Diceros bicornis minor: one gene and its partners. The protein of the gene in region 3 purifies or fractionates together with the protein of the main gene of each other region. This does not show direct contact. Links are inferred from orthologs where the notes say so. Each region holds a gene or a part of one and is shown on either strand. Other genes may lie near its edges. The genes, in order: TCEAL1, EIF4B and USP11.

Evidence for each region.
Region 1: the proteins of USP11 (region 3) and TCEAL1 purify together in Homo sapiens (affinity purification with mass spectrometry; 4 studies listed by BioGRID, counting the BioPlex papers as one, with this or other methods). This does not show direct contact. The link is inferred for Diceros bicornis minor from reciprocal best matches to the Homo sapiens genes USP11 and TCEAL1.
Region 2: the proteins of USP11 (region 3) and EIF4B purify together in Homo sapiens (affinity purification with western blotting; 3 studies listed by BioGRID, with this or other methods). This does not show direct contact. The link is inferred for Diceros bicornis minor from reciprocal best matches to the Homo sapiens genes USP11 and EIF4B.

What each region holds. Positions count from the first base shown.
Region 1 is NC_080781.1:96,664,859-96,672,075, reverse strand, and holds TCEAL1 (transcription elongation factor A protein-like 1), read right to left. Parts: upstream 2,740-7,217; 5' UTR 2,563-2,739; intron 2,118-2,562; 5' UTR 2,053-2,117; intron 1,698-2,052; 5' UTR 1,686-1,697; coding exon 1,206-1,685; 3' UTR 579-1,205; downstream 1-578.
Region 2 is NC_080756.1:17,197,908-17,205,731, forward strand, and holds the start of EIF4B (eukaryotic translation initiation factor 4B), read right to left. Parts: upstream 3,083-7,824; 5' UTR 3,012-3,082; coding exon 2,999-3,011; intron 1-2,998. UniProt on the Homo sapiens protein: Required for the binding of mRNA to ribosomes. Functions in close association with EIF4-F and EIF4-A. Binds near the 5'-terminal cap of mRNA in presence of EIF-4F and ATP.
Region 3 is NC_080781.1:41,032,282-41,039,476, forward strand, and holds the start of USP11 (ubiquitin carboxyl-terminal hydrolase 11), read left to right. Parts: upstream 1-4,159; 5' UTR 4,160-5,634; coding exon 5,635-5,786; intron 5,787-7,195. Other genes in the region: CDK16 (cyclin-dependent kinase 16), read left to right, coding at 62-152, 1,860-1,937, 2,024-2,061.

The DNA of each region.
Region 1 (7,217 bases), about 56 Mb from region 3:
CCAGGACCCAGTGAACTTATGTTTGATTCCAGTGGAGAAAAGGGAAGCTTTCAGAAAAAAAAAATGGGAAGGACTATTTTGCTAAGAATTCTTTAAGACATGGAGGTTTAAGGAACACTGGGATGGCATCCACCTGGAGAAGTGTTAATATTAAAGCTGGAGAAGGTGCATTCTCCATATATCAGTAGGAGACACAGTTCAGCTTTGGCCCGGCAGGGACTCCAGAGCAATCAGTGAGGCTTTGCGCTGGCACTTTGGACCACGGAAGGAGCAGAACCCAGGAGAAGGAACAGCTGTGCCCAGCAGACATGATTGTATCCAAGGGAAGAGAATAGGAGGACAGAAATAGAATGTGGCACTCACCTGGAATCTCACAGGAATTATTTGTGAGCACAAGTGAGATCTCCTTTGGGTACTACTCTGTGTATTTGAAGGGAATCTATAGGGGCTGGGGTCCTGCATGTGCGGGTGGGGGAAAGAAACACACAGCTCATGCAATCTTTACCTCATTTGGTTCCACAGCAGCCTTGTAAGCCAAGTATTATTCCTATGTAAACGGGAAAAGAATGACCTTTAAACAAATATAAGTACCTGGTTTATATTTCGGCATAAGAGATTCAGAAGAAACATGGGATTTACTTTTCTTTTTTTAAGTTCTGACAAGTATTTATTAAGTGCCACATTGTCTTTATAAGCTGATTGACAGTTTTTTAAATTGTTTTACAATTTTTCATTATATTGGGATTTTTTTGCAACACAAGTAAAATGTGTTCGTGTTGAAAAAATGAGAAATTCCTATAAAGCAAAAATGGAAAACCAAAAAAATCACCTATTATCTTACCACACAGTCACTGTTAAGCCTTTGAAGTATATACTTTCAGTTTTTTCTTTGCATATTAATATATAAATATACATTTTTTTTACAAAACTGGGATACTACATATACTTCTTGAAAATTGCTTTTTTTCACTTCACAATATATAATGTACATCTTTTCATGCAAATGGGTGAGACTCAGGACTGAAAGAGAGGGACTTGCACATTGGGGGGGGCAACCCAATTTTATGCCAGTTACAAGCGAAACACCTAAAATAAAGCCACATAAAAAGTTAAAATTAAGAAGATGGGGAAAGGTATATGAGAAAAATGCAAAGTTCAGGTGGCAATACTTATATCAGGCAAAACAGAATTAAACGCTGAACACATTAAATGGGATAAGGACGGTTCCGTCTTGCCTTCCAGTGCATGATCATCAATTTGTTGCGTACTCTTTTCATCTCTTCCATCTCCTCTGCTACCTTTATCATCTCCTCGTTGCTTAAATTTCTGCCATGTATGTCTCCTCTAAATTGCGGGCGAGAGCGAGCCAGCCTTTCTTTAAAGCTTCCTTCTTCTAGCTTATGTTTTCCCACTCCACAAGGAGGCTGCTCCATGGGAGGGCGCTCCTCAAAAAGGTCCTTCCTAGACAGGCCCTCCTGCGGAGGGCGCTCCTCGGACACGAGCATCTCAGGAAGGAGCTCAGGAAGGAGTTCCTCGGGAAAAAACTCCTCCTCCGAGGATTGCTCCTCCGAAGAGGGTTCCTCCGGGGAGTGCTTTTCAGGAGAGTGCTCCACAGGAGGCCGCTCCTCATCTGCCTTGGGCGCGCTCTGTGGCTGTTCTTCATTCTCTTTGCAGGATTTTTCCATGTTGAGAATCGTCTTTTTTAAGCACAGTTATTCATAGGAGACAAGAAAGGCAGAGTCGAGTCAGAATACTTGATGGCTGGACCAAAACCCGGGCCATGGGTTCCAATAACCTGCCTTTTCCAGATTCGGGGCCCAGGTCCTCCAACCTACGCTTGCTGAGAGGCTTTCTGGCCCTGGGGACCCCGCCGCGTCTCGTCCCCCCGCCCTTGTCGCCCCCTCCTTTCCGAAAGCCCACCATTTTCCCAGCAAGCCTTGCCACAGGCCTCTCCCGCAGTGGCAGGGGCGGGGCGGTGGTGCCGCGGACTCCGCGCCCATCAGCGTCCTCCCTCTCACTCCATCCTAGCCCACTGCCCACCCCTTCCCCGACCTGGACCTCTCCTGGCCGTTTGTTCCCAGGCGTCCTCTCGAGGTGCCCCGCTGCGACCTGCAGACCTGCAGACAGACGCAAGACAGGGTAGGGGGCGGGGAGTGGAGAAGAGGGAAAGACTGACTGACACACACGCCCTTTTTCTGGGCACCAGCCGCCGCCCCCACGCCAGCCCCTTTCTAGTTCCCCTCCCCCCGATGCCCCATCTCAAGCTTGGTCCTCCGTGCCCCTACCCCTCCACCCCGCAATGCTCGTCATTTCTTTTCAGGCGGGAAGTGGAAGCGAAAGATGGCTTAGAAACTATTTCTAAGTGTCTGTGTCTCCCTCCCGGGGAGGGGGGGCTCACTCACCTCCCTACCCCACCTCTAAACCACCATTTTTTGCACCGAACTGTGGGCGCGGGGGGCGGGGCTGGGCATAGGGAAAGGCCTGGACGCTGCCATCCCGATTCCAGGGTTTACGGGGCGGCACCGACACTCACACCGATTTAAGAGGACCAAGGGGACTTACTTCGTTGTGCTTTTCCCCTCGACCAAAGGGCAATAGGCAGACGCTGTCTGGACAGGCAAAAAGGACCAGGACGAGAGAGACTTGGGCAGACACAGGCTCCTGGTCACGTGAGGGCCGCGCGTCACCGCCGAGCTCAGATCCCCAGTTACCGCTTTGACCGGCGGCCGTGCTGCAGCAACCTGACAGTATTTCCTGACCCCCAACACACCAAGCACCGTCACTCACCTCTCTTTGTTTATATTTGCCTTTTCCTGGTTACCAGAGACGATCAGCGTCTAGTCTTGGGGTTTATTGCCTCTTCCTCTCTGCCGCTTTGCCTGATACCCTCTCCCTTATTCTCCTGTCATCAGCCACTAAGGCCCATTATTTCCTCTACAGTCCAGATCCTCCACTGAAATTCGACTATTTCTCATTAATGAATCAATATCATATACCACCTCTCCCAGTTTTAATCCACATTCATAACTCCATCATGTCCACTTAGGCTCGATCAACATGGTTTTCATCTCTTGTCACTTTGATGAAAGATAAGCTTTCACTTTTCCATGACTTCAGGATTTTATTTTTTTTTTGAGCCTTCAGACCTATATTACGAATAGAAGCTCCATTCTAAGTTGGTAATCATTCAATTCTAGAACTCTAGAAAAAGTTGTTTGTAAAGTATATAAATCTAAAAAGATTGAACACTTTGATTTTCATAAATCAAAATACACATTTGTCCATCTAAGTACAAATAGTCTGAAAACTTACCTGAAATGGGAGCATATTTAGTGGAGAGTGTGGCATTATTATATATTTATGTATATATATACACATATATACATACATACTATTATGTGTGTGTATATGTATGTATATACATATATTCAGTAGTTATTATTGGTAATAGAAGAAAGAGATTTTGCTGGAACTCTAAATCCTTAACCAGCCACCTCTGGTGTTGCTGGTTGAGAAAGTTTATATTAGTTCATTAAATCAGCAAATATTTGGGTCCTGGGACTGCTGGACGCAAAAAGATAGATTCACCACAGAGGACATTCCTATTAAACTATGCAATAATTCTGTTAATCACACACTGAGTAGCAGGATTAAAATCATGCTCACATACTCAATTGTCATTACAAGTATATATTTTTGGATCTAATGGTGTTTTATGATCTTCAGCCTCATGCATGCCTCTCACCTACTCGCATCAGCTTGGGTGCTACTTCCTCATGTAGATGCCCTTTCCTCCAGAAATCAGACTATACCTCTCTGTAGTTTACACTTTCAGGGTAGGTGGCCATCAGATCTGTGAGGATCCTGGGATTGTTTTTTTCAAACCCGAGCTGTCTAGTAAGTTTCCAAACAGAAATTCATGTGTGAAATTTCCTGTTTTAAGAGCTTTGTGTCGCTTCTCTCCGTCTAATTTACTTTGTGTTGAGATAGCAGCAAGACAGATATTAGTTCACTTTTATATCGTTTCCACAACTGTTTTACTTTTCAATTTTTCAGTGATGTGTCTTTTAAACCAAGTTTCACTATACCTTCTTTATCCTTTTCACCGATGGTTAGCTTCATCATTTGTGTGGTTTCTTTCCAGGAGGAGCCCCATTTCATTCATTTCTATCCTTTTTTCCCTTACATCCTGGGATGAAGAACTCACTACCTTAAAAGACATCTCATTGAAATTTCAGACAGTTCTAATCATTCAGAGTGTTTTTTTCTTTTGTTGAGCTGAAATCTGCCTCCAAGTAGTTCACACACATTGGTCCTGGTTCTGCCCTCTGGAGTCGTACAAAACAAGTATTTTATAACAAAAGTGCCTTTTACCCTTGATAGCCTGACACTGCCAGAGTTAATGTTCTGGTTCTTTCCCCTTCCCATCTGTGAGACACACTGGGAAATCTACTTGACCTTTCTGTGACTCAACTTCCTCATCTGCAAAATTGGAGATATAGTAATACCTCCCTCATAGGATTGGTAAGAGGGATAAATAAGTCAGTATATGTAAAGGACCTGGAATAGTGCCTAGCACATAGAAAGCACTCTATAAGCATTAACTATAATTATAGTAATAGTAATAATAATAATAGAATGACTTAGTGCTAATAGTACTACTAATTATCATTCTTTTGTTATTAACATTAATTGAGTACTTATGCCAGGCATTGCACTAAGCACTTTCAATATGCTATCTCATTTAATCCTTAAACAATTATGTTCTCACCAAGACTTTTTTTTAGGTTTAATCTCCCCAGTTATTTCAGCTCTTTCTGAGGTGATATATTTTTTCAAAGTCACTCACCATCCTACATGCTTCTGAATTTGTAAATGTCTCTGAAAATACTGAATATTCTGCCTAGTGTAGAATGGAGTGATCTTATCACAGCCCTCATTCTAGAATAGCCACTATACATCTATAGATGCATCCTAAGATCATACTAGATTTTGTGGATGCCATATCACACTTTAAGTTGAAGTCAACTGAGACCCCCAGATCTCTTTCATACATCCCTGTTAATGCACTTGTGTAAATCTTTTTAATTTTAAACAAGTACAGAAGCTTCTGTTTTTCTGGATTAAATGTTGTCCTGTTCGATTCATTCCCTCATTCTTTGAATCCTCATTCTGTCATTCAGGACATGAGCTACAAAATATTAATTTAAAGCACGCCATTAGTACTAAATACGATAATAAATTCAGCAAACTCAGGAAAGATCTAAAGGAGATCTCAGCAAAGAGCTCTGACTCCAAATGAAAAAATTCCTTTTCCCTGTTGGGTGTGCCAGCCGGGAGTGTGCCCTGTCAGGCCAGTTCTCCTCCTTTCCACTCTCAGTAGGACTTCTGAGGGTGGGATTACTTTCTAGTGCTGCTGATAGAAGACACAGTTGCCCCTGAAAGCTGCCAAACCAGTATGAATTAACCCTTGATGAGAACTTGGTAAACTGGGGGGGCAGACAAGGGAGATTTAAGGATTAGAACCGGGAAAGGAGGAATGAAGACTGTGTCTTCATATTGGCTCTAAGTCTCTGCCTTGATTTGGGGTTCCCTTGAAAGAAAGGGCTCTCAAGAAGGAATAAGGTGAAGGTGGTTCTGCCATGGTGACCACCATGTTACAAAGGAATGTGGTCTGCTATTTGTCTCTGTGTGCTCTGGGTGGGGGCCGTGAAATAATTCTGATAGATATGATTTGATACTGCTGATTTAGGGTCCTGTGAAGACCTAAATGGTGCTTGGCTCACTAGTGCTAGTGAGAGTTTAAGTCTAAGGAACTCCATTTTTGTGTGTGTGTGTGTGCGTGTGAGGAAGATCAGCCCTGAGCTAACATCTGTGCTAATCCTCCTCTTTTTGCTGAGGAAGACCGGCTCTGAGCTAACATCTGTTGCCAATCCTCCTCCTTTTTTTCCCCCAAAGTCCCAGTAGACAGCTGTATTCATAGTTGTACATCCTTCTAGTTGCTGTATGCGGGACGCGGCCTCAGCATGGCCGGAGAAGCGGTGCGTGGGTGCGCGCCCAGGATCCGAACCCGGGCCGCCAGTAGCGGTGCGCGCACTTAACCGCTAAGCCACGGGGCCGGCCCTAAGGAACTCCATTTTAAAGGTGCGATAACTAAGGCTCTGAGAGGTGACAAATTATTGCCATGGAAACAGATGATAGTAAGTAGCCCAGATGGGATTTAAACCCTGGCAGTAGGACATGAATGATTGAACCTTAAACCACTTTGTTAAACTGCTCCTGGGCAGTGGGCTCCAGACACCTTTACACGCAGCCGGGGTGTGCGGCACAGGCCTTTTCAGGTAGCGGGAGCTGAAAGTATCAGAAGGCAGGCAGGGCAGCCAGGCGGGCAAGGGGGAAGGCAGTCAGCCCCTGGCAGCTGCTGCTATGACAACAGCCTCCAGGGGCGAGGCCTTTCTCTGGGGGATCTGAGGAAGCCCAGGATGGGTTTCTGGTTCAGAGATTCCTGTTCCCTCGTGAGGCTGCACTTCTGTGGCAGAACAGAGCCCCCTCCCTGTGAGCCCCTCTACAGCACAGACCCCATAGAGGTCTGGTTTCATTTTGCAGAGCCTGTCTGCCCTCTCCAGCCCAGAGGTTCCCCTGCTGCTTCTGCAGCCTCTGCATTCTTTCCTAATGACACCTATGGCAGTACTTTGGTCTCAAGACTTGCTGCTGTGCGCTGCAGCAGGCCCTGTCCAGCCTGTGGCTCTCAGGCTCTCCTCTCCCGCTCCCCCGCCCCCACCCCAGGGGAAATAGCCAAGTGGGAAATGCAATGATAAGAGCCTTCTCTTTGCTGCTTCTGGCCTCACACTAACTGGGTCTAGACACACACACACACACACACACACACACACACACACACACACATCCTGTACATGCCCAGAGAAACAAGGAAGGGGCTCTGAGGAAAGGTAGAGTAGAAACTCAGGCTGCTAGGAAACACTCAGGGACAGGAAAGGCAGGTCCAACATTGGCCCAGAGGGAGAGAGTCCCAGGCTCTGGGCTAGGCAGGACTCAGGCTGTCACTCACTCGCTGGAGGGCTCTGGAGGCCTGGGAGCCTTCTACCCCTCTCCTTGCCTCTGTTTGTGTCCTTCTTCTTCTCCCTAAAAGGTGGGGGGAGGGGCAGTGGAAGAGCAATGAATGAGGTCCCCTCCAACTCTAGGGTGCTATGACTCCA
Region 2 (7,824 bases), on a different chromosome or scaffold from region 3:
ATTCGGTCACTGCCCCCTCCAAAAACTCCTGGTTGAGAAATCACTGTTGGATGACAAACGGCCTTGAATGTGAAGTTTCCATGTTTTTCCCAAGTGACTTAACACTAATCCTACTCCAAAAGTTATCATTCATGACCAACCAGATTATATTCTAGACCTACTCTATGCTTTGAAAGAAAGCAGTTATGCAGAGATTGGCTCCTATAGCATTGGCCCTGGGCTAACATCCATGCCCATCTTCCTCCACTTTATATGGGACGCTGCCACAGCATGGCCTGACAAGCGGTGCCTCGGTGTGCGCCCGGGATCCGAACCCGGGCCGCCAGCAGCAGAGCACGGGCACTTCAACTGCTACGCCACAGGGCCAGCCCCTGTCCTTGAATTTTTATAAGGAGTTTTAAGTCTTGGCCTTCTGAATCTGGGTATCTTACTCCTAGAATAACAAATATTAGTAGGGGATGGGATTTGAAAATAGGTAACATGTGAACAGTATATAATGGCAACCACTGAAGTGATTTTTAACTATAAGGGTCAGCATTTTATGAAAACAACCATTGGACACCATCCTCTCCCCATAAAACAAGATGCCACATGCAATGGCATTTTGAAGCGCTATGCAAATGAAGGCCTTGTGTGGGCATACATACACTATTTCCAATTTTAAAGCTTTTTAGTCTCAAAAAATGTTAACCTGTATCAAGCACATTCGATTCCTTTTAGGTAAGGAGAGCAGATTCAATAGTCAAATCTGGGACACTTTCAGTTCTTGAAGGTCAATAATGGGTCATAATGGATACTGACTGGTATTGCTGCAAAGAATTTTTTGGTGTCATTTAACAGTAGAAGAGGCCTATGAAATTTTATCATGTACTTTCACTGAGAACATATAAGGTCTATTTTCAACAAGACACTGAGCATTATCAAGTAGTATACTGAAAATACACTGAGAATTTTATAGTCTCATCAATACAGCCACATCTGTGAATACTGGTCACTTGACAAAATCAATGCAATTGGAAGATTCAAAGTAAGGAAAGAAATTTGATAAACCCCAAGTTCCTCAAGGGCAGACCGTCAGATGTAACCTTCTGCTCAGACACTAGCGTAGTTCCCTTACACATAGTACACAAGCCAGAAAGATTTATGGAACCAACTTAAAGGACATGAGGGCTTCCAAGGGTGTAGGGTAAACATCGAAGAACAGGTGAAGGGGACAAAGACTAAGCAAACCACTTTAACCAGTGCAAATTTCACTCAACTCCGTAAAATGAAGGACACGGATTGCTAACATTATCTTCCACCTCTAAAAATTCCACAAAAGTTATGGAGAAAGGGAATATAGGCTTTTCACTAAATTATGACACTAAGCCATCAAGATGGCAAATCCAGGCCAAGTAAGTACTCTACTTCAGATGAAGCTTTCAGGGAGCATCCCAAATTTATGATGACATGGAAGCCAACTTTGTCATTTCCAAGTTGATAATGTAGAAGAGTCAAGAGTCTCAAAAATTTCGACTGGCAAGCAGTTTGACCTTGAACAAAATTTCATCTTCCTCAGCTGGGAGATACCACCATCTGCCTACATTATCTCACAGACAATCAAATAAGAGAATCAAATAAGACAATACATATAAAAGTGCTTGGTCAATTGTCAAGTGCTATGCCAATGAAGGGAATTAAGCTCAAATACACCTCAATTTCCTCAACATTTTCCAAAGACATACGTAATCCTTAGTTTCCTATGTAATAACAGAGAAGATACATTCTTGGTTAGAAGTGAGTGTCCAGAGATAGCAGGGTTCAATAAATGTTTTGTAGAATGCAGGGTCATGCGAGGAAAAAGAAACTATATCCCCAAAACTAAAACCAATGCTACGAAATCGTTGCACAGCTCACTGGTAAGCCTATTAGAAATGCAAATAGATTTGCCTGACAGTGACATTCCCTCTCCCGAAGAAGTCTAAAAAGGAAACCAACTCTAGCCACTAGTATTATTTTAAAAGCACTCTGTAGTAGTTGTGCAGCTATCTAAAAAAAGAGAGAGCTGAACTCTACCACTGGAGCTATCAAAATTCAACCAAAATGGAAGCTGTCAAGGGATTTGATCTTGTTCCCCATTGCATCTCCAACACCTAGAACCGTGCCTGGCATATAGTTTTCGTTCAGTAAGTATGTGTTGATTGAATAAGAAAAAAAGCCTACAAGAAATCTGGGTCTCCACCCTTGCTTCCTCTCCGCCAACACGTGGGCGCACCGCACTGGGTTCCCTACCCCCACCTAACTCCAGTAGCTTCAACCTCCAAACTTAACACATTTACCCTCGGGAGAACATAGGGACCAAGCCACCTCTAAAAGGGGAAGAGCAGAAAGTGGAAGGACACAAAGGAAAGCAAAACAGGCGCGGAACACCTCCCCATCTGGGCTCTCGCGCGTGCTTTTAAGGCGCGCCTGTCTCCACTACCCTGGCCTCTCCTACCGCGCACGCGCATCGCCACCTTCCCCCGCCCCTCCGCCGACTCGCGCTCGCGTTCTAACTGCCCCCCCCTTTATTCCCCAGCCCCCCCTCGCGTCCGCAACGGCCTCGCGCCTCGGAGACCTGGTCTGGTGTGCACCCGTCCGCGCGCCAACCGCCTCCTCCCTTTCTCCACGCCTTCCCGCGGGCACAGGGCTGCCCGTGTGTGAGAAGGCCTCACGCCTCCCACAGATCTCTCTGCGCCTCCTGCTCACTCCAACTCTAGCCAGAGCCCATCATTACTCCCCACTCCAACCTTGCGCACACGGGGTGAAAAGGGTGTGAGGGAGAGGGGAAGGTGTCCTTCCTCTCCCCCCAAAACATCCCGAGGCGATAACCTAACACGGCCAAGCCGCCAGCCTGCCGCAGCCCCAAAACCCGAAGGGAAGCGGTGCCGCCCGCTCTCCAACTCCAAGGAACCACTGGATCACGCTCGGAGAGTGGCTTCGGAGCCCGGTCCTTGGCCGCGCTCGGCCGCTCACTCACCTGAGGCCGCCATGTTGAGAGAGGGAGAGAGAACGCAAAGGACCCGGATGAGGCGATCACGTGATTATAGCGGGCCCGTCGGGCTAGGAGACGCGAAACTGGGAGGGGCGGGGCGGCGCTGCTCTGGGTTCGTAAAGCAGCGCGAGGAGGTGGCGCGGCGTCCGACGGGGAAGACCTGCGTGACATGTGGCCAAAGGGGTGGGGCCTGGGCTGTCGCGAAACCCCCACGCTTTACGTATGGCTACGCGCGGCCGAGGGGGCAGCTCTGAGCCCGGGGCGGGGTCTCTGATTCTCAGACTTCCGGCCGAGGGGTGGGCGGAAGGGGCGGGGTGGTGCTCGCTGGTTCTATTGCTCGGGGTCAGAATGCAGCGGCTGGAACCTGGAACGGGTGTGCTGCGGTTGATTCTCTGGAAGGGAAGATTCTGAGTTTCTTTCTTCCTTTTTTTTCTTCTTCCCATGTGTAAAAACATCTGTGGTTTATTTACTAAGTTTCTTTTAAAATCACTTTTCGTGCAAAACAAGCGCAATATCCTGCTTAAGGATCATTTTAATTGGGCATGTTTAGAAGGAATAAGTAAGTAACAAATACTGAACACTTAATTGCCGTCAGCTTTTACCTCGTTTAATCTTTCTTTTCAATGACTAGCTTTAGTCAGACTCAGGCCCGTATTTCACAGCTATCCAGCTAATGCTACATTTTATCATATATTAGTATTTCATGCCGTGAAAATTTTCATTGAGCACCTGCCCTGTGTCAAGCACTGATACTGGCTTTTTGGGTACAAGAGATAACAAAACCGCTTCAAAGGACGCTATAGTCCAGTGAAGGAAAGACGGGCAATATGCAGTGAATAAATAAAATGTTAGAAATGATAAGCACTCTGCAGGTAATCAAGGTGATTTGATAACAGGCGACTGGATGCAACTTTTGATTGCCTGGTCAGCGAAAGCCTCTGTGGAAGTAATATGTAAATGGAGATCTGAATTACAAATAGGCAGCCCTGTGAACGTCTTTAGGAAGAGCTTTAGGAGAGGGCAGAGGATGCACACTCAATTAAAAGCTCCAAGGCCGGAGGATCTTGGCAGGTTGAGGGATTTAAAGGATGGTAGCAGGCGGCCAGGTGGCGTAATGGTTAAGTTCTCGTGCTCCTTGTAGGCAGTCCTGGGTTTGTGGCCTGGATCCCCCTGGAACTCGGGGCACGGACCTACACAGCACTCATCAAGCAATGCTGTGGTGGGGTCCCACATGCAAAATAGAGGAAGATGGGCACAGGTGTTAGCTCAGGGACAATCTTCCTCACCAAAAAAAAAAAAAAAAAAGAGGACTGGTAGCTCGAGTATGGTGAGGGAGGGGGAGAGTGGTACAAGATGAAGCTTGAGCGATAGGTAGGGGTTGGATCATGTGAACTATTAAACCAGGTTTGGGAGTTTGGAATTTCTTCCATGTGGGTTGGGAAAGCATGAAAGGATTTTAGACAAGGGAATGTCATAACGAAGTAAAATTTTGAAAAGGATTACTTGGTATCTTGATGTGTTTCATGAGTGGATATTTATGTAAAAGTTCATCACATAGTACACTTAAGATTTGTGCACTTGGGCCGGCTCCGTGGCTTAGCGGTTCAGTGCGTGCGCTCCGCTGCTGGCGGCCCGGTTCCGATCCCGAGTGCGCACCCACGCACTGCTTCTCCGGCCACGCTGAGGCCGCGTCCCGCATACAGCAACTAGAAGGATATGCAGCTATGACATACAGCTATCCACTGGGGCTTTGGGGGAAAAGTAAAAAAAAAAAAAAAAAAAAAAATATTTGTGCACTTTACTGTATAGAAGTCATGCTTGAATTTAAAAACAAGAAGATTACTCAGGCTACTGAATGGAGAGTGGATTATACAGACGCAGTAATGGAAGAGAAAGACAGTTAAAAGCTCGTTGCTGCCAGGGTCCCATTGTGACTTTTCATGGACTCTAGGGACTTTTGTACCCTTCTCCATAAAAACAATATTGAAAATTATATTTTATGATTGTGCTGGTGTAAACGCAAATGTATTAATATGATACATTAAACCATTTTCTTTGACCTAAATGTTTATTTTTTTCTTATGATTTTAAAATAAACTAAAATATTTTTGTGGGCCTCTAAAAGTATGGTGGGGCCTAGGTACTGAGCCTGCTGTGCCTACTGGATAAGTTGGCCCTGGCTGCTGTAATCCTGGTGAGAGGAGATAGTGGCTTAGATATGAGTGTAGAGATGGAAAGAGAGAGATGCAGGTACATTTTGGAAGTAGACTTGGAGACTGATTAGATGTGAAGGGCACAGGTTTTGGCATGAACACCTGGGTGATGCCGTTTACTCAGAAGGCAAAGCCCGGGGCGGAGCAGGTTTGGAGAGAGTGTGTGGGCTCTGTTTAAGCCATATGAAACTTGAGATAGCTACTAGTCCAATGCTTCTCATATTTTAATGTGCTTACAAGTCACCCGGGCAATTTGTTAAAAGTCAGATTCCAATTCAGTAGGATCAGGGCGAGGCCTGAGATTCTGTATTTCTTCTGGTTTGGATCGTTAAAATGGAATGATATAGGAGAATTAAGAAAAAAAATTGACTATTGGAAACAGTAGATTTCGGAAAGTTCAAAGAAGAGCCAGATAAGGTAGGGACCTGTGGGGTAGGTAGAGACTTTCAGTTACTAAGCACCTAATATATCCCAGGGTCATACCAAGCACTAAACAAACTAGCTTATTTAGTCCTCACAATGGCCCTCTAAGGTTCATATTATTATTTTTAATTTTTTTTTTTGTGAGGAAGATCGGCCCTGAGCTAACATCTGCCAATCCTCTTCTTTTTGCTGAGGAAGACTGGCCGTGGGCTAACATCCATGCCCGTCTTCCTCTACTTTATATGGGACACCGCCACAGCATGGCTTGCCAAGCGGTGTGTTGGTGAAAGGTTCATATTATTAATCCTATTTTTGATAATGACTCTGAGGCTTGGAAACAGTAAGTACCTTTCCCAAGTGCACATAGCCAGCAAGTGGCAGAACTGCAGACCCAGAGCTGCCTGTCTTATCAGGTCCACGTTCTTTTCAGTTTCCCAGAGACTTCTCAAAAGTAAAGAAAACTGGGGCCTGCCCTGTGGCCTAGTAGTTAAGTTTGCGTGTTCCACTTTGGCAGCCTGGGTTCGAGGGTTGGGTTCCTGGGCGTAGACCTACACCACTTGGCGGCGGCCATGCTGTGTCAGCTGCTATGCTGTGTCGGCGGCTCACATGCAAAATAGAGGAAGACTGGCACAGATGTTAGCTCAGGGTTCATCCTCCTCAAGCAAAAAAAGAGGAAGATTGGCAACAGATGTTAGCTCAGGGTGAATCTTCCTCAGCAAAATAAATAAATAAATAGAAATAAAGAAAACTTAAAATCGCAAAATAAGTCTATGACAAGTACTTTGTATCATTTTTTCTGAAGAAATCTGGAAGAAATAAACTGTTAATTATCCACTGCTGTATAACAGATTACCCTAAAACTTACTGGCATAAAACCACCGACATTTGTTATCTCAGTTTCTGTGGGTCAGAAACTGGTTATTGAAAATCACTTGCCAAGGCCTAACATTTGCAGCGTCTCTTATATTCGTATCCTCTTTTCCATTTTCCTATCATTTCCCGTGTCATTTCTCACCCTGACCATGCGTCACTCTTCTGAGTCTTCCTGCCTGTAGTCTTTCCCTGCTTCAATACATGTAATAAGTAGCTGCCAGATTTATTTCCTAAAGCATAGGTCTGAACACATTCCCCTGCTGGCAAACCTTCCATGGCTCTCTGTGGCCTAGGCAGATACTCCAGGCTGTGGATATCCAGCCCCAGATTACTGGTCCACACTTATTTCCTACTATCCTCCCTGGTCTGCTACATTCCAGCCATGTATACCTTGTGCTTTCCTAACTTTGAGTCTTGTTTTCCTTTGCTCTTCGCTCTGCCTGGAGTACTCTGTCCTCCTTCACTGCCGAATGGGTCAACAATAAAATCTATCCTTCAAGGGCTCTTCAAACTCCCCTTTTCTAGGAAGCTTTTTCTGAGCTTCTTCCTCTGAGCCCCACCAGCGCTGTGCCTACACCTTCTTTTCGGCCCTTGTCACCTTCCTCCTTGAACTGCCTTCCCTCCTGGTCTGGTAGCTCCTGGAGGGCAGCATCCATGTTGATTATGTTTATGCCTTCCGTGAATTAACATCTGGAATATTGTTGGTGCTCGGTACATATTTGCTGGTGCTGAAGTAAGACTTTCAAGAAATTTACATTTATTGAGGTTTTCAAGAGGTTATACTGTATATTGACTTATATGCCTGGATTCATTTAGTGTTCATTACTGGAAAACAAAATATATTGCTGCTTTAAAGATGTGTATTTCTCCAAAATAAAAGTCTTTTCATCACAGTTTTGAATGTATAAGGTTAATTTTAAATATATATCTAGATTATCTAGGGGTTCTGTTTCTGGTATAGTAAATAAGTTCCCAATGGATTGATCCTTTTGTAGATAACAACAGTAAACTCTGGAAGAAGACAAACAAACAAACAAAGCCCACCACTATCTAAAAGCTGTGAAACAAAGACAAGCAGATTTTGGAGGGGAGCGGAAACTTGGAAAAAGGTACTGATGTGGGGTGGGCCAGCCCAGTGTGGTCCAGGGTGGCTGAAGCTTCTCTAGAAAACCGACCACATTTCTGCCATTAGAAAGGCATTGCCCAGGGCAGTGTCTGCTCTCAGAAAGTGAGAGGGGAATCCTGTAAAGAAGAGAGCCAGAATTCTGGTGTTGTCTGCCCAAGTCTCTGGCTGGCCCTTGA
Region 3 (7,195 bases):
AGAGAGGCCTACTCATTGGAGGTGTCAGTATTCCACACATACACCCCCGCCCCCCACTCAGTTTGAAGGTCGCAATCGGATCTCCGCAGAGGACGCCATGAAACATCTATTCTTCCTCAGTCTGGGGGAGCGGATCCACAAACTTCCTGACAGTGAGTGGATCTGGGGAATGGAGCTGCCGGTGGGGGGCCTGTGGGAAACAGGACAGCTGCAGACAGCTTGGGCAGGTCGTGTAGGGCTCTGGCTACGCCACCTCTAAGAGGGTACACCCTTGTTCACACGTGTGATGTGTTTATTACAAAAAAAGTTATTTTCGTTTTTAGTTCCTGTCACCTTTCATAGAAATTTTCAAACATACATAAAAAAATAGATGCAACATCACTTTACCTGGTGTGCGTGTGTGTGTGTGTGTGTGTGTGTGTGTGTGTAAGATCGGTCCTGAGCTAACATCTGCCAATCCTCCTCTTTTTTGCTGAGGAAGACTGGCCCTGGGCTAACATCCATGCCCATCTTCCTCCACTTTATATGGGACACCGCCAACAGCATGGCTTGACAAGCGGTGCGTTGGTGCGTGCCCAGGATCCAAACTGGCAAATCCCAGGCCCCGCAGTGGAATGCGCACACTTAACCGCTTGCGCCACCGGGGCGGCCCCTACTTTACCTTTTTTTTTAAGTAAATGTTTCCTTGTAAAATATATACTGAGAAATGCACAGATCGTAAGTATACAGCACAATGAATTTTCACAAACTAGACACACCCATGTAATGGCATCCAGGTCAAAAACCAGGATGGGAGAAGCTCCCCCAGCGTGCCCCCATTTCCTTCACTTACTCCCGGTCCCCTTCCCAAGGGTCACTGCAAATTGGACTTATAACCACATAGATAAGGTTTCCCTGTCTTGTACTTTACAGAAATGGAATCACACGGGGTATTCTCTTTTTATTTTTTTATTTTTATTTTTTTATTTTTATTTTATTTTTTTTGGTGAGGGAGATCAGCCCTGAGATAACATCCGTGCTAATCCTCCTCTTTTTGCTGAGGAAGACCGGCTCTGAGCTAACATCTATTGCCAATCCTCCTCCTTTTTTTTTTTTTTCCCCCAAAGCCCCAGTAGATAGTTGTATGTCGTAGTTGCACATCCTTCTAGTTGCTGTATGTGGGACTCGGCCTCAGCATGGCCGGAGAAGCGGTGCGTTGGTGCGCGCCCGGGATCTGAACCCGGGCCGCCAGTAGTGGAGCGTGAGCACTTAACCGCTAAGCCACGGGGCCGGCCCTGGTATTCTCTTTTTATATCTGACTTGTAAAAACTTTTTAATATGGATATTTTAAAATTAGCTATATTTATATACTAGACCAAATAATAGGTTGAGTCCCCAAGTATTCCAATAGATCATCAACTTGTGGCCAATCTGGTTTTATCTGTATTCCTTCTGATTATTTTGACTCACATCCCAGACATATCGTTCATCTATAAATAATTTCAGCATGTATCTCCAAAATATTCTTTTAAACGTAATGATATTATCACAGCTAAAAAAATTGGCCCACTTCTCATGTCTCCCCACTGGATTAATCTAAATCAAATCCCAGATACCATCCATCACCTAGACTTAACAGGTGGTAATTGTAGTACCATCGTCACACTTGACAGAATTAATAATGATTTCTTGGTGTCATGTAATAGTCTATATTCCACTTCTAGTGTATTTGGTTTGTGTGTGGGATTATTTAACAGACGAAAGTCAGGTCTCTCAAAGAAAAGGCAAATTTTTCTAGTTTGCCCTGTGGGGCCATATGGGAGGTGGTCCTGCATGGCCCCATGGGTCATTCCCCACTTCTGTCTCTCCTCCACGCACAGCTACTTCCATATTTGCACTAAAGGAGATCCAGCTACAAAAGGAGGCCAGCCTTCGATCTTCATCAATGCCTGACTCAGGTAGATGTGGCCCTCGCCCTCTTCCCTGCCTCTTCCACCTACCTGCTTGCCTACCAACAGCCATCCGCTCTGCTTTCCCCCCGCAGGCAGGCCAGCTTTCCGTGTGGTGGACACCGAGTTCTAAGCTGAGTTCTAAGCCACAGATCAAGGCCCCAGCAGGCAGCGGCTGGAGGGATGCCACACCCCTCACAGGGCAGCCCCCCAACTGCATTCTCCCTGCTTGCTGCCTGCCTACCTGCCTGACTCATGCTCGCCTGCCCACGTGTCCCCTGCTGCCTGTCTGGACACCCGACCATTGGCCTGTCAACCCACCTATTGGCCTGTCTGCTGGGTGCTAACAAAGCTCTCATTGCTCCTTCGCCTGGTCTCTCTGTCTGTCTCTCTCTCTGTCTTGGTAGTTGCCAGCGGACAGCATGGCCATGCCAGCCTCCCACACTGAGGCCGGGCCTGTACCCCTCCCCATCAAACCCTCCCCCAGGACCACTACCCCGTGGCCAGCCAAGGGGCCGGAGCTAGCCCAGGCTGGGGATCTCGAGTCAGACAAGATGTGGTGATGCCTTGGGTCTGAGGCTTCCCCTGCCTGCTTTCCTGCCTGCCCCACCTGCCTCATGTTGTGTGGGCTTTTTTTTTTTGTTTCATTCATTGTTGTTTTTTAATTATTTTAAATGAGGTTTTCATTTTTTAAATGCAATATCTCTGTATACAGACTGGCTGGGCTCCACCCCCTGCGTGTGGCCCTCCCACAGTATTTTGTGCAATGAAGCCCCACTCCCAGCCTTTCTAAGGCAGGGACACAGCCCCTATTCGGAACCTTGACCATCACCAGACCCTGGGGTCAGCTAAGGGAAAGCATGCCTCGACCAGTCGCCTTCCTACCCCCGCCTGCCATCCCCAGCCACAGGGGGAACTGGGGACTACCGGAGACTCTCTGGGAGATGGGCGAGGTGGGGGGCCCCCACTCTTTCCCTCCTGCAGTCCCATAGCTGGGGCCTTCTTCCTTCTCAGGGTCTCCCTAGCCCAGCCCTCCTGCCCCCGTCCCACTTGGTGCTGTTGAGTAGGGGCCCTGCCAGGAACTGACCAACTCAATGAGGAGCCATAGTGTGTATATGTGCACAAGCAGGGGCAAAGGGGAGCATGGGGGGTTGTGCCCAGGCATTACCCTCTAACTCCTGGGGAGGGTGAGGCAGGGCAGGGACAGTCTCTGGGGTCAGTCCCAGATGGGTGGTTACCTCCCCTTCCTCCACTCTAAACCCTGGGGCCCTCAGATGGGGTGGGAGGGCAGCAGTGGGGGCCCTCCTAGTGGGGTTTGGGGGGTTGGGTTCCTGAATGCACCATAATTGCTGTATGAAATATTAAAGTCTAAAGTGAAAAACCTGATTGCAAATCCCTGCAGGGGTGGGGGTGGGCTTGACCCAGGGTTAGTACTGGGACCTTGGCGAATTCATACCTGGTCCCCAATGTCTAGGAGAGCACTGAGAGTGGGCCAGGGGCACATCACGACTGTGAAAAAGGCATCTGAGGGGTTGTACACGCAACAGTGGAACATTGAGTTGAAGCAGGTAGGGCAGGCCGAATAGAGGGGCTCAGAAGCAGAGAGAGGAGTTAGATTTACCCAAGAATATGAGGAAGCCAGATAGAGGGTAGAGATAGGTGAGTGTGGAGAGGTTGTTTGAAAGACACTTGGAAGGCCCAATAAAACCAGGAGGTGGGGAGATGAGGCAGAGAGATCCAGTATGACCACTATATGTCTGACCAGGACACCATGAGTTGGGCCAGTTGGAGAGGGAATATGAGAGGAGGGTAGATTTTGGATCACTGAGTAGGTAGGGGAATCCTTTAATACATGGGTCAAATTGAGGAGTTGGGCCATCGATGGAACTGGAAGTTTGGATCATTGGTGTCTAGGAAGTAATGGAAACCATGGGCATGGGTAAGGTGATGCTGGGAAGGATGCAATGGTTTGTGAGAATCCAGAGGTTAAATGGTGCAGCCTGGAACTTGGCCTCAGGTGTGAGGATAGCTGAGGCTTTGGGGGCTGGCATCACAGTAATAAAGACACAATCTTTGCCCCGTGGAGGTTAACTGAAAATAGAGGTAAATTATGAGATTGTGTGTATGGGTGTATGTGTGTGTGGAGGGTGTTAAATTGTGCAGGGAGAGGGTATTCTGGACACTCAAGGCCCAGGGACCTGTGTGCATGGGCCTAGAGGCATGGAAAGGCAAGGTGTGTTCTTGCCTGTGGGAATGGGTGGTGACAGTGAAGGAAGTCACTGAAACATCTGGAATCATGAACCTGTCTTGGGGAATTTGTGGGACGGTCAGGTGAGGACAGCGAATAGGCAGGTAGATGCAGGGAGCCAGAGAGGGAAATGACGTTATCACCAACAGGCAGGGCTGGGAGCCCTAGAAGAGAAAAGGATGGCATAGCCTAGTGCAGTGGTTCTCAACCGGAGAATCCCCACCACCACCACCACCACTAGGGGATGTTTGGCAATGTCTAGAGACACTTTTGGTTGTCCCAATTGGGAGGTGCTACTGGTGTCTTGTGGGTAGAGGCCAGGGATGCAGCTAAACATCCTACAATGCTTCCCACAACAGAAATATCAATGTTGTCTTGGTTGAGAAACCCTGGCCTAGTGCAATAGTTCTCAAACGGTCTCAGGATCCCTTTATATTCTTAAAAATTGAGGACATCCAAAGAGCTTTTGCTTATGTCATGTAGCCCCTGGAAAATTACACCGCACATGCAAGAAAGAATGGCAATGGAAAAGTATTGTGAAAATAGTTTTGACTTTGTAAACCCCCTTAGAGGGTCTCCTGAACCAGTAGAAAGCCTAGGACCACAGTTTGAGAATCCTTGGCCTGGTGTTTAAGATCACAGCTCTAGAACTGGAATTCCTGAGTTCGAACCACAGCTCAGCCATTTACTAGCTGGAGCAAAGTGAATTAATGTTTCTGGACCTCAGCTTGCCTCATTGTTGCCCATGGACCACAGTGATATTATCTGCTGCCTAAGGCTACTATTTACATGCAATAAAGCACTTAAGCAGGGCCGACTATTATTAGTTATTGCTGTAACTCCAACAAATACACAGGGCCTAGGGCTAACTTGCCTTCAACACGTTTGTCTAGAGAATAAATCTGGGCAGGCAGGGAAGCGGCCCGCAGGCCTGGGTGGCGCTTTAGAGGTGGTGACCTTTTTCGCATTGGGTTTTTATGGATCAGAAGGGTAGTGCAATGAAAGAAAGGCATTCTGGTCAGGCTAACAAAGACGCTGCTCGCAGGGTAGAGGCCCCCAGCAGAGCATGGGACCCGTAAGACCAGAACCTGTGTGTGTGTGTCCCTGAGCACTCCTGAATATGTCTTCGTCCACCTCGGGGACCTCTGCCTCCACCTTCCACATTACCGTCTGCCCTGGCTCAACATGGTGTCAGAATCCCACAGGGTACCTTTGTCTTTCTTAGTTCCCAACTGGAGGTTTTACCCCGCCTATTGGTCGCAGTGATCACCGCCCACAGCCCGACGCCTGCCTAGCCCTTCCACGCGTCCAAGCGTGGGGTCCATTTCCAAGATGGAAGTAGCCCCCCGGCGTTTGGGGGGCTCTGTTTCCGCTTCCGGGACCAGAATCCGGAAGTGGCAGTTGAGGGGCCTCTTCCTATCACCAGCTGCGGCGGTTGTGAGAAGAGGGTGAACGGCCATGGCGGCAGTCGCAGCGGATCCGGCGGCTGCGGATGCGGCCGAGGACCGAGAGCCACAGCGCGAAGCCATGCCGGGCCTGGAGAGCCAGCGGCGCCAGATCAAAAACAGCGAGAGTGGGCGAGAGCGTCCACTGCGGACCGGCGAAAGCTGGTGAGGCAGGGCGGCAAGCGGAGCCTCGGCTGAGCGGACGGTGGGGGCGTCGGCTACGGGGCGGCCGTGGTCCACAGGAGAATCGCCGTGGGGGCGGGGGCACTGGCCTGTGGGACGGAGGACGAGAGGGGCGGGGAAGTGCCTGTGAGTGGATCGCCTCCTCTGGGAAAGAGGCGGGGCCTGTGTGGTGGAGCCTGACGCCTGAGAACAAGATGTGGTTTGTTGTGGAAAGGCAGGGGGCAGGGCCTGAGAAGAACGGCCCTGGGGGTGGGGCCAGGCGTGTGTTGGAACTCGGAACCTGGGAAGGAGGCGGTCTCTGCAACAGAGCCCGGGGGCGGGGTCTGTGTGGCGAAACGGGGGCGGTGCCGGGTACCCCGCGGCGCCTGAGCGAGGCCGGGCGGGTGACGTCGGGCAGAAGAGCGGGATCTGAGCCTTACGGCTGTGGGCAGGAGGAGGGAGCTGGCGCCTGGGAACGAGGCTTGTGACGTGGTCCGAGGGGCGTGTCCTGAGCCGGAGGAGAGACTGCAGAGGGGAGGTGGTGTCTGTGAAGCAGAAAATGGCGCCTGCGAATGAGCAAAGTTTGTGACGCGGTGAGGTTTTTGCCTCTGGCCGAGGCCTTCTTCCCGGGACAGGAGAAAGTGCAGGTGATTGGCATGGGAGGGGCCTTCGATGTTACGTTTGTTTTCTGTTTTGGTACTGTTTTGTTTTTGTAATCAGGAAAAAATAGTAATTTAAAAAAAAAGTCCATGCCTATCTTGATAAATCGGCTTGTTCTACTGATTTCTTTGCTAACCAGTGCTTGAAATGAACTGTTTATGGGTTCATTTTATTTCTCGCTAAGTTGCATCCCGTTTTTTAAATTGTGAAATTCGTGAGACCTAAAAAGATGATAGAAAACGTTTACGTAGCGCAGATTGATGGACATTCCATAAAAATAAACGGCCTTTGCTCTTCAAAAATTTCAAGGTCGTGAAAGACAAAGGATGAAGAACTGTTCCAGACTGAAGGAATTAATGGGATTTAACGAGTCATGATAACTAAATGCAACGTGTGATCCTAGATTGGATCCCGGAGGAGAAAAAATAAATTATTTAAAAGTCAGGTTTTTTTCTCATAAAATTAATTTTCTCTCTTTTACTATAAAAGATATTAATGAGAAAATTGGTAAAATTTGACTAAGGTCTGTAGATTAGATATTAATACTGCTAATTTCTTGCTTTTGATAATTGTATTGTGGTTATGAAAGAATATCTTTATTTTTTTGGAAATACATGCTGAAATATTTAGGAGTAAAGAGCCATCGTGTAAGCAGCTTACTCTCAAATGCTTGAAAAAAAAGAGCATATATAAAAATGTATTGAGGGGGCGGGCCCAGTGGTGGCGTAGTGGTTAAGTTCGCGCGCTCTGCT